Linked DNA regions of Coturnix japonica. The protein of the gene in region 2 interacts with the protein of the main gene of each other region in a pairwise test. Links are inferred from orthologs where the notes say so. Each region holds a gene or a part of one and is shown on either strand. Other genes may lie near its edges. The genes, in order: PARVA and MOCOS.

Evidence for each region.
Region 1: the proteins of MOCOS (region 2) and PARVA interact in binary tests that used the Homo sapiens proteins (3 or more experiments, as listed by UniProt). The two-hybrid records come from large-scale screens. The link is inferred for Coturnix japonica from reciprocal best matches to the Homo sapiens genes MOCOS and PARVA.

The regions. Positions count from the first base shown.
Region 1 is NC_029520.1:12,241,903-12,245,718, forward strand, and holds part of PARVA (alpha-parvin), read right to left. Parts: intron 3,406-3,816; coding exon 3,304-3,405; intron 2,529-3,303; coding exon 2,456-2,528; intron 1-2,455. UniProt on the Homo sapiens protein: Plays a role in sarcomere organization and in smooth muscle cell contraction. Required for normal development of the embryonic cardiovascular system, and for normal septation of the heart outflow tract.
Region 2 is NC_029517.1:46,080,152-46,084,727, reverse strand, and holds the start of MOCOS (molybdenum cofactor sulfurase), read right to left. Parts: upstream 2,930-4,576; 5' UTR 2,792-2,929; coding exon 2,680-2,791; intron 1-2,679. UniProt on the Homo sapiens protein: Sulfurates the molybdenum cofactor. Sulfation of molybdenum is essential for xanthine dehydrogenase (XDH) and aldehyde oxidase (ADO) enzymes in which molybdenum cofactor is liganded by 1 oxygen and 1 sulfur atom in active form.

The DNA.
Region 1 (3,816 bases), on a different chromosome or scaffold from region 2:
TATGTTGTTCCAAACCATGATGTGAAGGGCTAAAGATACCAGGGCTGCCCTGAAAGTAACGTATCCTATGCTATTACATCGACCCACAATGTCAGAGGTGGATGTTGGTGGGACAGCAGTAGAGGTTGAACCTTTCCACCAATATTCTGATACATGCTGTTGCCGTGTGACAGATGGCAGCAAAGGGGCACTCTGACAAAATGGTGCCTGGCACTGAAGGGGAAAAACCTTCACCCACTGACATTCAATGACACTTGTTGAATGCGTATGGAGACCAAAGAGCAGAAGTGAGCACAGTAAGGCGGTGGGTGGTGCGTTTCAGCAGTGGCCACCGAGGGTCACCTCCACTGGTGCAGACTTTTACAAGCGTAGCATGAAGGTTGTTATTTGTCACTGGTAAAAATGCACAGTTAACTGTTGGTGACTATGTTGAAAAACAGTACTGTTGCTGAGAATTTTCTCTGTCTGATAGTCTTATTGTGCTTTTTGTAACTGCTGTAGCTTCCATGAAAATAAATAGGAGGCATTACTTTTGGAGCAGCTTATGTATTAGGCACATGGCAAAATGACATTCATGGATAAAGGTTGAAAATAGACAAACCCACATTTCTTAATGAGATTATGCACAGTCATGAAATCACGGCCAAAAAGTTTTGTGATTCTTAATAAATCAGATAAAAAAATGCTTGCTACAAAATGAAAAAAAAAAAAAAAAAGCCAAAATCTACAGGAAAGGCATTTTGCCCCACAACATCACGTTCCACTTTCTAATACTGTTCGTATATAGCTCAGGAAGTTCCTTCTTTCATGCTGGAAGCAAGCTGCACAATGCTTTCATTTCCTAATACAGAACTTCAAATGAATGATCAGACACATCCACAAGTCTCTGCAAAATTACCAGATGATTCCATCACCAGAACAGAATTCCAGAGCAAGGTCCACAGCAAAAAGCAAAGCACTCTCAGAAAAAGAAGAGTTACTTCCATTGCTAATTGTATTTGACTGGTGTGTGTAACATTTTACTGGTTAAAATTTTCAAGAAGCGGAACTGAAGTTTGGCTTTGATTTACATGTCTCAAGAAGTAAGCTGAAAAGCTCAAAGTGCAAATGAATTTGTTATAGACTCAGTAGATTAATGTTCTGGCCATTTTTAAAAGTAAAAGGTCATGGAAAGCTTTATAATACTCTTTCAATTATATTGCAAACAAGCCAAATAAACTGTTGACCCCATAAAAATCATTGGTTTTCATACTCATTTATTTAGCCACATTCTTTTTTCCACTAAATATGTTTTTCATATTCTGAAGCACTTTTCAGCATTTTTTTTTCCCCCAAGAACCTCAAAGAAACAGTGTAGGAATTTAAAGACTATTTAGTCTATGCATTTGGGGTAAAATTCTTTTCAGTGCTCCTTTGCTCACTGGAAATTTTATGTATGGGCATTGTGCCCAATGTAACAACACATAAAACAGAAGTGTTTTTCCATTCACATAGGGCAGGAAGTTTCATATTAAGCATTTCAATAATTGCACAAGAAATGTCTTATATATGCTGAAATATCCTTATGGCTTGATTTATACTGGAAAAATTAGCTGTCCCCTGGAGCAATAAATACCCCCAAAATTAAATGCCGTAAGAATTTTAAACCTCCACAGGGAACAAGGGATCACAGATATTCTCTATTTTACTTGGGTCTCTAGATTTCACTCTTTTCCTCTTCTCTCTTTGACTGTTTCAAACACAGAAGTTTGTGACACAGTCACCACTGCTGCAGTTAAGCATGATTGTTAAGCAATCAAGAGAAGTGATGAAGTAGGTTGGATAGATGCAGATAAAATGCATAGGCAGCATAGGCTTAGTCCTGAGACATGACTCTGTGCACATGCCTGCTATTGGCACAATTTGGAGGTCAGGAGGAATGGAAAAAAAAGCAGAACAGAGCAGAAATTGATGCACTGTGTCAGAATCTCCAGTGTCCTTAATATATAAGAAGTCTAAGCATCAGTTTCTATCACTCCTGAGGAAATAATGATCCAATATTATGGTAGGAAAAGACTGCATCTTGAAAACACATACATTAATTATGGTGGTAGGTAACCTGCAGCACCCAGCTACCACCATTGGAAAGAGCTGCACAAGCTGCACATCCAGCTCCTCCATGGCAAGAACAACAGAAACCATACGAGTGCCTTATACCACATAGAATCAAGGGTCCTATATAAAGCCTGAAAAGCTGGATTTAAATCCTGTATTTATATAAGTGAAATGGAATCCTGGTCTTGCTAAGGTCAGCAACAAAACCTTCCCCTCCAGTCACCTGATGCATTAACATCACTCTAATGCATTAACATCTTAACCTTTATTTAGTTGTAGCAAAACCCTATGAGATCCAGATTTAACTCAGATTTTTTAAAGATGCGCAAAAAAAAAAAAAAAAAATAAATCAAATAGATACCTTCTGGTCTTGGCTTTGGTTTTTCCAGTCCACCATCTTGCATTAGCTCAAATGCAAAGGACACATTGAGGACCTAGTGATATGATACAGGTAGTTGTTATGATCTAGACAAAGCATACTAAAAAAGGTCAAAAGAAGATGCATTTAAAGCTGCAGATCTATAATCTGGGAAAAAAAAAAAAAAAAAATCAAGCCTCCATATATCAGTACAGACAATCCTTGATTTTGGTTTTTTTTTCTTTTTTTTTCCTGAGTGGTGACAGTGTTTCAGAAATACAAAAGTAATGGAAAAATAGCATGTGAACCGACATTACACATAGAAAAAACAGTCCCCAAGTTTACAAATCAGAACATGATGGCTTATGTGGTGCGCATCTTAGATAACTGAATTGCTGAGACAGCGACAGACATCAGTGGTCAGTCTTAAAATGATACACAGTACATATAAATCTTCATGCTTTCAAAAAATACAAAACTTTTGAAATGTCAAATTCTTTGACTTTGAGCTGAAAAAAATCAGTCCCGTCATCAATTTGTGTATAATTTTAATGAACACTGAGGCTGGCTCAGTGATAGCACCACGCAATGGTTGCCAAAATCAGTTAATATTTGCTAGATGCCCTATCATTAATGTAATTATCCCTTTTATTCTGAATAAGTATTAACACTGAGATTTAAAAAAAAGAATGCTTGGAAATGGTTACCAGTTCAGACCTGTTCTCTTTGGTTTTCAGCTACCAACACTGAACCCATACAGAAAAGTCAGCATCATCCCTAAAACAATTCCTATGTTTGCTAGGGAGGTTTTTGTTTTGTTTTGCTTTAAGAGAAAAAGGGAATCTCATTACCTTTTGTTCAAAACTATCAGGAGTCAAGAAAAAGCTGTGGAGAGGAACAAAATAGCCTTCTAGGAGACCCATTAGCAGGACTAAGTACACACCATCTGCAAACTGTAAAAAAGACATTTCTCAGTATGTTTTCTGAATACACGCACAGAATAAAGTTACTGCAGAAAGCAACGGTCAGTGACATTGATCTGCGTTTTTGTTTTCTCTTCTGTTAGTTGCAGGAAATCAGAACAACCAGTTTTCAAGCTATCAAACAGCATGCATTCTCTGAGCGGAGAAAAGCACAACCAAGGTGCAGCCTGATGACTACATTGAAATTCAGGATGTTGAAGGAAATAAAGGAATAAAGAATGATAATTTTCACGTTCTACATTTATCTCTATTTAAAAAATAACAGCATTCATGAGACTTCGTTCAAGGCATCTCACTCGTAACCCTATGGCATTGTCTACTATAATGAAACTCTGAGATACCAGAAGGAAACAATCATCTGAAGGGAGACGGTAAGCGAGG
Region 2 (4,576 bases):
AAAACTCCCACTGAAGTGGTCACTATTATCTCTGAGGAGAACATTGGCACAAAACTAAAACTAGAAAGGTATCTTGGGACTAAACACTGCACCACAAATCACGTCAGCTTTTTATTCTTTTTTTGAAAACATGCAATAAACTGAAGCTGCTATTTTCTTTGCTACGATAAAAATCACAGAAGCATATTTATTCCCATTACTTAACAACAGAACCTACAAACTCCTGCTGATTTCTTTATCCATTTCTAAAGCACAATTTACACTGCAGATAAGGGTGTGCTCTTCACAAGATTAAAGTCAAGGTCACGTACTGCACATGCACTGCTGCCTGTAAAACTGGGATCAGTTTCGCAGACTCCACATATATTTTTAGAAGGGCTCGCTCAAGCCCACAGCTAACAGCCCCTCAATTATAAACGTGAAGATAAACCTTGGATTAAAAGGTAACATTTAAGGCTTCTGTAGCAAAACAGACAGACACAGCCCTGCTGATTCAAGTCATTCCTTTCATCCCTTCAGGGACTCTGAATGGAAAATCCCCAACGCAGTTTATAAGAGCCTTCTGATACAGTCAAGAACAGACCTCCCGTGGATCTTGGTAACATCACAAGTGGACCACCTCTGAAAGAAAAGCCTGGTTTCACACTATGTCCAGCAGCTGGTGTCCCTGCACAGATATACTATATATTACTCTGGGCAGACTCTTGGGCTGGGTTTATATTAGAGCTACAACAGAGGCATTACCACCATAAAGTCAAAGCTGTATCACAAAAGGAAGGTTTTTCCTTTCCCTAGAAAGCACCATTTGTACAAGATGTCCTCAGTGAACATCACCAAATGTCAGCAATTGAGAAAATATGAATATGCTGACATGCACTAGGCTTTTTTGCTATGTCTATATATATGTCTATAAACCGCTAGCACTTCAAATACAGAACTTTGGGCTTAATTCACAGCCACTTAGACAAGGACTACAAAATTTCTGTTCCCAGAAGTCAGCAGCAGAATTATGATTATTATATAACTTCAACAACGGAACCATCTTTGATACACATCCCAAACAAGCAGTGTAAGACACTGCAATTGACTACTTAAAACCAGTATCTGGTTGGTAATGCTCTTAACCAGGAGGGATTAACTGTATGAAGGTGTTGCAGCAGTTTGGTAGGCGTCCAGCAGAGATTAAGACCCAGAGCAGCTACAGGGTCCTTTGAGAGTCAGCCATTTGTACAGTCAGGATTTATTCATAAAGCTGACCTGAAGCCAGCAACGATCCAAGACTCCTGCCTCATCTCCAACACATTCTGGCAGGTCACTGAAAATGAAGGAAGCCAAGTGCCTGAAACACGCACTGATTTCTTAGGTCACTCAGAGAAGGCCCCTATACTCACTACTACTGCTGCTAACCTGTATATCAGCCAACTCCACCTTATTTCAGCAAGGCAACAGAGACCTAGAGCTTCAAAAGCCATTTGGTGGCATCCACAGCAAAGGTGTTAAGACCTTTAGCAAATCAAACTCATCAGCTCTGGACAGACAGACACATAAGACAGGGGATATCTAACCTTACATGTTACTGCCATTTCGTAAAGACACAAGTTCTTGACTACAGGAAAGGTGACCCCACTTTTAACTCAGGAATACCAGGTAGGACAATACATACTGATTGTCATTAGTTAAGGACACTGTTCTTCCTGATTGATACAAAGAGCTTTCAAGATGAACGGACAACTTCTGAACAAAACATTACAATCTTGAAATATATATATATTTGACTCAAAAAATAGTATTTAGAATAAAAGCAGACATTCAAAAGTTCTACAAAAGGTAAAAGGAACTTCAGAAAGCAGCACGACTGAAGTACAGCTTGGTAGACTGGCTAAAACACTTATAAACAAAGGTAAATATGCTCTAAATTCTTTGCTTTTGCAGTGACCTCTAGCTGGGCACCAGGCACATCCAGCAGGCATCACTCACCAGCAGCTATGCTTCATCTCAAAAACAAGGAGTCTCATGAGAAACAAGACTGACTTTCAGGAGTTCTGATGAGCCATCTGTTTAAATGTCTACATAACTTCTCACTTATTTTTCAGAATCCTGGCCTGAATTTGCCATCAAGTTTCCCATCATCCAGCCTTCTCTGATGCAGCTAGCATTGCTGATAATTGAAAACAGCTTATAGACTCCTAGCTAACAGTGAAGTTCATCAGGTTGCTGCTAAAATTTAGCTCTTGTGTGTGATACCTGTGCTCAGATTCTATCATAAGATCTCCATGAAATGCCTTAAAGAAGCATTCGTGGGAAACCCTTCACAGTAAGACCAGCTTAAGCATCAAGTCCAGGACACCCACGCTGATGTTATTTACCCCTCTCTTTTTATATTTTTCCTTAAGTGTTTTGAAATGCTAAGATCGTGGGCATCAAAACCTCTCTTTACATGATTTATCTTAGCAGACTCACTGCACCTGACTTGGAGTAACAGGTGCATGCACACACAGGCATTTGTGATGGGAGAGCCACAAAGCCTGCAGAAGTCATTCACAAAGACCCTTCAGCCTCAAACCGTTCCCAGACAGGGCTGTTTTACCATCTGAGCTCACATTCTCAATTAAAAACAAAGAAACAAACCTTTCTCTTTTCAAACCTTCCGCTCAACCCTCGGCCCCGCCCCCTCGGTACCTCGGAGCCGTGGGAACTCGCGCTCCCGGAGGCCGCGCAGTTCGCTTCCGTACTCATAGCCGGCTGGGCAGCTGCTCTGAAAAGCCCGGAAGGAGAGCAGCTCCTCGGCCATGATGCGAGCTGAGGCGGAGAAAAGCGAGGAGGACACAACACAGCGTTCAACTTAGTCCGGACGGCCGAGTCGAGCCACCCGGCCGCACTCCGGCCTGCGCTGCTCCCAGCCCGGCTCCTCCCGCCGCCCGCCCCCGCGGGGCAGCACCCGGGCCCAGGCCCGCCTGTCCGGGCTTGGAGCCCCATAGCCCGCAGTGCCAGCGCCTGCGTGGGGTCGTTTGCTCCCTGATCCTTAACACACAGCTTTAAGCAGAGCCAATAGGGATAGCCTCACTTAGTTCATAGAAAACTCTTTTCCTTAGCATCAATCTTTTCCTATTTCCCCCCAATACTTTGGCTGCTGCTGAGCAGCATGAGGCTCACGCTTCGTGTTTGAAATCTTATAACTGCTCCGTCCTGCTGACTTGAAACAGACACCATGCGCTCAACATACAGGACCTCAGCTGGCCAAAAGCAGTAGCGTGGAATTGGCAATCAGATATCTGAAAGCCTTGCTCCGAGGCACTGAAGTGCATCTCTGTAATGCTAAAAGTAGGTTCATCCTTGACTATTCATGGATGTGGTAGGTATACCAACACAGGTTGTGTCTCATTTCTGAATGTCTTCTTTCGGGACCTTGTCTGGATATTATGATGTTCACAACACATATTACATAAACAACTTAAGCATCCCAAATTACATTAACTTCTTTGCTCTGAGGCCTGCATGTTAGGCAGCCTAAAATTTCAGACTCACCAAGTTTAATGTGGACAAAACCAGTACCTCACAATTACTACTTCTGCCTTCAGCACACCTGTACTGCTAGCCTCAGTATTAATGCACTGAAGGCCCTGCAGGGAAAGAAAGGGATTCTTCTTTCTCTTTGTATCTAGTTCCTGAACTCGCTTGTCAGTTTAGTTCTGTGAGGAAAGAGTCACAAGAATCAGGAGCTTGATAGAGGAGGGGAACCGTAGCCAATTCTCCCACTGAAGAAAAAGTAGGCACTTCCCAGTGCTCAGAGCACTACATGCTCTGTCTGAAAGGCATTAGGCAACCTGCACACATGAGGTTTTGGCGTGGTCACAAGGCATGCTGCTCCCTTCTGGTGTGTGTGACAGAGTGCAAGTTGGAGTACTAAATATAAATATTATTATTATAAATAGAAATTTATAATAATAAATTATTTATTATTATAAATATAAATATAAATCCATGTGAAGCCAGGTTTTATTTCTACCACTGTTCACAGAATTTTAAAATACATTCAGAAAAACAATCAAGACAATTCTTATCAGAGCGGTAGCAAAAGAAACGGAGGAGGAAGGAAATGAAAGAACCCAAATGCAAATTCTTCATTGTAATTAACAGTTTAGCTTAAAAACAGGTGTATTCAGGAAACTGTAGGAGCTGCATGCAAATCTGAAAATTCTCTTTGGGGGAGAAAAGGGGCCTGTTTCATGTTTTTCACATGGAAAATGGGGCTTAACTGCTACTAAAATGCTGGTGATTGTTTTCTGATACTACATCAGGAACAGCTGTGCATTATCTGTCCATACAGAGAAGTTTTGCCAGCACACTCACCTGAAAGCTTCCTTTAATATCCCACAGACACCATCTGAGACCAAGTCTGCATCTCTCAAATACATACTTAGTTCTTTGCTGTAAGTACTTAGTTCTATCATAACTTTGTCATAAGATGACATATAGCCTCATAAGTCTTATGAGGAGCAGCTGAGGGAGCTGGGATTGTTTATTCTGGAGAAGGTGAGGCTCAGGGGAGACTTCATCACACTCTACAACTTCCTGA